2 linked regions of the Cricetulus griseus genome follow. Each later gene encodes a partner of the first gene's protein in a complex. Links are inferred from orthologs where the notes say so. Each region holds a gene or a part of one and is shown on either strand. Other genes may lie near its edges. The genes, in order: Kank1 and Eif4a1.

The links.
Region 2: the proteins of Kank1 (region 1) and Eif4a1 are in contact, whole or in part, in a crystal structure (PDB 7DDX), measured with the Mus musculus proteins. The link is inferred for Cricetulus griseus from reciprocal best matches to the Homo sapiens genes KANK1 and EIF4A1. Residues at the interface, in NP_852069.4 of Mus musculus: Gly1168, Asn1169, Asn1171, His1175, Tyr1176, Val1178, Asn1201, Lys1202, Ala1203, Tyr1205, Met1209, Leu1210, Leu1213, Ala1214, Ala1215, Gln1240, Ala1241, Leu1248, Ser1251, His1252, Arg1254, Asp1273, Glu1274, His1285; in NP_659207.1 of Mus musculus: Lys99, Val140, Arg141, Val144, Gln145, Lys146, Leu147, Gln148, Met149, Glu150, Ala151, Arg168, Arg169, Tyr170, Ser172.

What each region holds. Positions count from the first base shown.
Region 1 is NC_048596.1:35,876,731-35,880,551, reverse strand, and holds part of Kank1 (KN motif and ankyrin repeat domain-containing protein 1), read left to right. Parts: intron 1-1,824; coding exon 1,825-1,967; intron 1,968-2,491; coding exon 2,492-2,692; intron 2,693-3,821.
Region 2 is NC_048600.1:83,511,430-83,514,372, reverse strand, and holds the end of Eif4a1 (eukaryotic initiation factor 4A-I), read left to right. Parts: intron 1-285; coding exon 286-454; intron 455-499; exon of another isoform or gene 500-640; intron 641-732; coding exon 733-842; intron 843-938; coding exon 939-1,082; intron 1,083-1,159; coding exon 1,160-1,297; intron 1,298-1,384; coding exon 1,385-1,474; intron 1,475-1,523; exon of another isoform or gene 1,524-1,669; intron 1,670-1,730; coding exon 1,731-1,810; intron 1,811-1,903; coding exon 1,904-2,048; 3' UTR 2,049-2,216; downstream 2,217-2,943. UniProt on the Homo sapiens protein: ATP-dependent RNA helicase which is a subunit of the eIF4F complex involved in cap recognition and is required for mRNA binding to ribosome.

The sequences.
Region 1 (3,821 bases):
GGCTATGTGGCAGAGTACTGCTCACAGGCCCAGAGTGTCCTTGTGCGCCAGCCTCCATGTGGCCCTATAGAAGTGAGTGGTTGCTCAAGATAGCAACCAACAAAGCTGCAATAGAGTCATCATTGTTCCTGCCCAACTCCATGACTCCTGAAGAATGACAAAAATCGGAGGCAGGGTTTCCCATTACCGCCAAACCTTGTTAATTGACACTGGTGAGAACGTGCCATCCCAGAATGCAGCTCTGGGTCACACTACACATAAAGTGAGAGGGCAGTACAGAAGGAGCCCCTTGAGAAAGTGACCCTTCAGTAATGTGCCCAAGTGGGACAGCCCCCAAATCACTTCCATCATCAAGATAGTATTTTTGATATGCCACTAACACAGAATTCACAACTCAGTCCAGTGAAGACACAATGTCAACACCTGATTTATGTGATGAAATTCCCTGGTTTCCTTGATTGTCTCTTGATGGCCTGATGCACATTACTCCATCTCGGAGCTGTTAATACAGAGAAGAAGAAGAATCCAAGCATGCTTATCATTTGTTACTATTCTCCATTTCTGTCTTCCTTTTCTTGGTGTGGGGGTGTTGGAGCTATGGCTAGCAGCCTTCTGCATGCTGGACACGAACTCTCAGTGAGCTACTACAGGCTGCATGTTCTCTATTCCAGTGCCCACATAAGGGGATAACTGCTTCCATCTGTAAACTTTAGCTGGGGATACTGTTAAACTAGGGACGTGGCTGATACCCAGGGATGCTGAGAACAAGATTGCAGCATTGCTCTGGAAATAAATGGTTTTTTTTCTGCCCTAGAAGGGATATCTTTTCTTTTTTTAAGATTTTATTTATTATTTTATATACAACATTCTGCTTCCATGTATATCTTCACACCAGAAGAGGGCACCAGATCTCATAACAGATGGTTGTGAGCCACCATGTGGTTGCTGGGAATTGAACTCCGGACCTCTGGAAGAGCACTCAGTGCTCTTAACCTCTGAGCCATCTTTCCAGTCCCTAGAAGGGATATCTTGGCAAATTGGATTGATTCCGTTGTTAGGTGGTTTTAGTTAATTACTTCATTTACATTTTTTATTGCTTACTATTTTGAATAGATTTTGGCTCCATAAAATGTAACACTGGGTGCTTCTGTGTGGAAGGACTGAGGACCTTGGGTACATGTGTGTACCCACTTTGCTACCAGCAGTCTTTGCTTCCTACACATAAGTCCTTCTGTACAGTCCATTGTGTTATTATGTAATGAAGTGGGGTCCTGGGCAGTTTTCTCCTTGTCCCGTCTTACACTTGTAACTTGATACTTGCTCAATATAAAAGCTACTTTCCATTACTCTTCATCCTGGTGTTGTATTAAAGCCCTGGAACACTTCTTGAGGTTTGAGAACAGAAGATCTGTAGCCTATGGGGTCAGGTAGTCTTTGGCACTTTCTATCTTGGAGGACTTAGTGCGTTAATATTGATCTCACAGAACAAGCACTAGCATTAGAAGTCTTGTGATTGCGTTTCTGAACATGTGCCGGTCTAGATCCTCACTAGGGCTTATGCTCCAGAGCGAGTACACTTAGAACGTCCTCCCACACCGCCAAGCTGTCCCACCAAAATCACCGGTCACAAGCAGGGCACACTGCAGTAACTTACTGCCGTTTCTGCTGCTACCAGCGCTCTGAGACAGGGCATAAAGACAAGTGTTTCCTTCTTAATTGTCTTCATTCCCAGAGCACTTTTCCCAGGGCTCTTGTAAACGCCACACTTCCTGTGAACACTTGCTACTCTAGATGACTCTCTCTAAAGAGATTTCTTTCTTGTAGACGTGTGTAACGTAGATCACCAGAACAAGGCGGGGTACACGCCTATCATGCTGGCAGCACTTGCAGCCGTGGAGGCAGAGAAGGACATGCAGGTTGTAGAAGAACTTTTTGGCTGTGGAGACGTGAACGCCAAGGCCAGTCAGGTTGGTGTCTTGCTTACTATGCTAGATATCCCTGCCCTGGCCAGTGTCTGATGTGACCAGGTTGACAGAGAAGTACTGGTGGCACACTGACAGCTGCAGTCCGTGTACTGACCAGCACAGCAGTGACACGTGGGTTCAGTCCCACAGTGCAAACATCTTCCGGCTTTGTCTGGCCGCCCAGGCAGTGTGCAGGGAAACCACAAATATGCTTATATACAAAGGACCCTACTGTCTAGGGTTCTCACCATATACTCATTGCCTACTGATTCCAACTCTCTTGCCTTCTTGGCTTTATGCCAGACCCAGAGCTCTAAGCCTAAATGTGTTCAGAATTTGAACCTCTTTGGAGCTATCTACCTTGCTATACTAAGACATCCTCAGAGTTCTAGTGAAAACCTGACTCCATCCTATGTGCTCTTCCTTAGCTCCTGGCTCCAGTGCCTTTGTGTGTCATCTACTCCACCCATCCCCCAGCCTTCCTGCTCAATCTGTACTTCTGAATCTGACCCTCATTTCTTTCATAGGCAGGACAGACAGCCCTCATGCTGGCCGTCAGCCATGGGCGAATAGACATGGTGAAGGGCCTACTGGCCTGTGGGGCTGATGTCAATATCCAGGACGACGAGGGCTCCACTGCCCTGATGTGTGCCAGTGAACATGGGCACGTAGAGATTGTCAAGTTGTTGCTGGCCCAGCCAGGCTGCAATAGCCAGCTGGAGGACAATGTGAGTACCACTGGGCCTCTAGCCAGAGGCGGGCGGGTATGGGCCCCCTCTGTCCTGCTCTTTGTGGACTGGTGGCGTCCAGACCTCTTCCTTTTATAGCCCAACTGAGCAGCATTTACCATGTATAGTCTGACACTACATTAGCCAAGAGCAAAAATAAATAAATAGACCTCACCCTTGAGTTCATAAAAGGAAGATGATGAGAACCAGTGTCCCTTAATGGGAGTGAACAGGTCGGCCCTACAAAATCACACTCGGCGGGAACAGTGTGTGAGCAGTCTCTCGGTAGAAATCTGGGGATTTTTTCCCTTCGATGGACCACTTAGCCATGCAAATGCAGTGTCACAGGGGAGCCGCCGTGGCCTAGCAACATGGATGTTCTGTGACTGTACATTTTCCCACTTCTGCTTGGTCTGTTTCCATCACCACCAAATGAACCTTCTCACTCAGCTTCTAGTCTGTCCCACTCCAAGATAAACCTTGCAAGAGGACAGGCCAAAGAGACCATGCACTTGCAGGCAGAAAGCATAGTACTAGCACTTGGGCTGTGGAACCGGTTCAGGTCAACAGAGGTCAGACCAGGCGGATCCTGGTTTTGAAAGTTTCTCTCTGTGGAACACGGGTTCAAGCCAGTGCTTTCCTTCATTTCAAAACACCATAAAGTTAGTTACAGGAAAAATATCCTCCTTTGCCATTAATTCCAGATCCTGCTGGGCTCACTCCAACAAGCAAAGCAGGGGAGGTCTTCACTAGGTAGAAGGGCAACCCCCTCCCGCCTCCAGGGAACATACAATTCCCTTCACTTGCTCTGGGAGCGAGAGTTTACAGCTTGCCTTTCCCCCACTACAATCTCTGTTGTGTGTGTTTGGGAGTTTGCTCAATTGCTTTCTTTCTAAAAACTTGTCTCTGTAGTAAGAATCTATAACAGTATGGAGACCAGAAATCCTGGCTACCCGGCTGATTGCTCACTTCCTTATCCATTCACAAGTAGGCCAACCTTCATCTGACCTCTAGAAGAAAAGCTGCTCCCTGGATTCCCAGTGTGGGAGGGCAGGGTGCTAACATTCAACATGGGAATCGTTTCCTGTTGCTGTGATCAAAACCAGACAGGAAATAAGCTGCACTGTCC
Region 2 (2,943 bases), on another chromosome or scaffold:
GCTTACATTGTTGTGTTCATAATCCCAGCCTTTGGAATGTGATGGCAGGATGGAGCCTGTGAGTTAGTTCTAAGCCATAAGGGCTGGCGTGGCCTGGCTTGGTATTTTAGAGGGTTTTGTGTAGGATGGAAAACTTAACTGTTAGCCTGTGTTCAGAAACAAGGATTCTGCCATTTGTGTGTGGGGGGGTGTCTTAAGGAGAGTTTTAGATAAATGGATTAAAGGGGAAAGTAACAAACTTCCAGGTGTATATAGCCGAAGCTAACTTAGTTGTCTTTTGTTTAGATTCAAAAGGTGGTCATGGCATTAGGAGACTACATGGGTGCCTCTTGTCATGCCTGTATTGGAGGCACTAATGTGCGTGCTGAGGTGCAGAAGTTGCAGATGGAAGCTCCCCATATCATCGTGGGCACCCCTGGCCGGGTGTTTGATATGCTTAACCGGAGATACCTGTGTGAGTGCCATTTTACAGTTGTCGCACTTTCCTAGGATGTTAGTTGCTCTGTGATGAACCCCATGCGTGTCATCTGAGCCCAGCTTCCCTGTTGCCTTAGCCCAGGTAGTGTTCTACTTACCAGGACTATTTTCTGGCCTGGCAGGGAGGCCTTAGGCAAAGGATCAATCCTTATATTCTGAGAGCAGACTGCTCCTTGCCTGTCCCTTTACTAAGGGACTTAATTAAATGTTTCACATTTCTCTTATTATGTGTTGGTATCTTTTCTGTCTTCCTAGCCCCCAAATACATCAAGATGTTTGTACTGGATGAAGCAGATGAAATGTTAAGCCGTGGGTTCAAGGACCAGATATATGATATATTCCAAAAGCTCAACAGTAACACACAGGTAAGCTGCTGTCTTCATAGGATAACCCATGGCTTGGTTGTGATGTGAGGAGGACAAGCAACCCTTATTGCCATCCACTTTTCTCTCCCCAACTAGGTAGTTTTGTTGTCTGCTACAATGCCCTCAGATGTCCTTGAGGTGACCAAGAAGTTCATGAGAGACCCCATTCGGATTCTTGTCAAGAAAGAAGAGTTGACCCTGGAGGGTATCCGTCAATTCTACATCAATGTGGAAAGAGAGGTGGGGCCTAGTGCAGGAGGCGGACCTGGTAGTAAGTTGTTGGGTATAGCCCCTGACTGATGTTTCCGGATCTCCAGGAGTGGAAGCTTGACACATTGTGTGACTTGTATGAAACCCTGACTATCACCCAAGCAGTAATCTTTATCAATACCAGAAGGAAGGTGGATTGGCTCACTGAAAAGATGCATGCCCGGGATTTCACTGTTTCCGCCATGGTAAGTTTTCTCAGATCTTCTAAGTAGCTGTGTGTGCTTGTGTTTTAAGCATAGAATGCCAAAAGCCTTGTGCTACTTGTTTTCTAGCATGGAGATATGGACCAAAAGGAACGAGATGTGATCATGAGGGAGTTCCGGTCTGGTTCTAGCAGAGTATTAATTACCACTGACCTGTTGGTGAGTAGAGGCCTGTTTCAGGAAAAGCAAGAGGGGTGGGAGGAGTTGAGTCCAAGGTGATTCCCTCTCCAAGGGGCTGACTAGTGCCCCTTTCAGGAACGTAGCAACTTGGAAGAAAACCTGGCATGCCTGAGGTCTCTGGGGGAACAAGAGATGCTTGTTTGTTGCCTTTCCCTGCCTTGGCTGCCTACATGTATTCCTAAATCAGTTGGACAGATTGTACCCTCTGACAGTTCTGTGATCTTTCTTGACCTAGGCCAGAGGCATTGATGTGCAGCAGGTCTCCTTAGTCATCAATTACGACCTTCCCACCAACAGGGAAAACTACATCCACAGGTAAGTAAGGGTCTGCAGTGCCAAATACCCAAGCGCTGAAATCCAAATGTCATCCTCTTTCCCCATTCCATTATTATCCCTTTTTGCCCTTAGAATTGGTCGTGGTGGTCGCTTTGGCCGTAAAGGTGTGGCTATCAATATGGTGACAGAAGAAGACAAGAGGACTCTTCGAGACATTGAGACATTCTACAACACCTCCATTGAAGAGATGCCCCTCAATGTTGCTGACCTCATTTGAGGGGCTGTCCTGTTACCTGGCTCTAGCCAGGGTTCAGTCCTGGGGGGCTGAGGAACAGCTGGAGGGGGGAGGGAAGGGAGCCAAGGGATGGACATCTTGTTTTTGTTTTTGTTTTGTTTTTCTCTCTCTCTCTCTTTGAATAAATGTCACTTTTTGAGGCAAAAAGAAGGAACCGTGAACATTATAGATACCCTTTTCTTTGGGGTAGGTTCTGCCCCAGGCGCCGTCTCCTTCCCCCAACCCCAAAACACTAATCCATTCCCCTAACCTGATTCTAAAGACTTTCCTACTACCCCAGCCAAATCTCCAAAAGTGAATCAAGGGGCTAAAACATGTCTGGCCTCATTTGCTGGACCAAATCTACAGGGAGAGTCCCTGCATGAAGTTGTCCAGGGAATTGTCCCCAGGTGAGGGGAGCAGGGGAGAGAAAATGGTAGCCATTTTTACATTGTTTTGTATAGTATTTATTGATTCAGGAAACAAACACAAAATTCTGAATAAAATTACTTGGAAACTGCCTGTTTGGGCTTCTTGTTTGTTCCTCTCCCACCTGCTGTTTGTGTGGGTCAGCTCCTATAGTGGTTCATTACTGTGTTGTTGCCTCCTGCTGGTGTTCAAAATATATCAAGTGATCCACTATGTACTGAAAACTGGTACTGACAGTACAGGACCCTTCACAAAACGTTAGTCACGAGTATCACATGATACTTGAGGAACTGAACACAGTAATGGGGTCAAGAAGTCAGCAAAACCTAGTTCTGCTTAAGATCCCAAAGTGCCCAACACATGTGGATGCTGACTGCCTATCTTTGGGGGTGAGGATTTCCCTGTAGCTCTTGGTATCATGGAACTAAAGTGAAGACCAGGAGATGCACACGGGTGGGGCAGGGTTCCT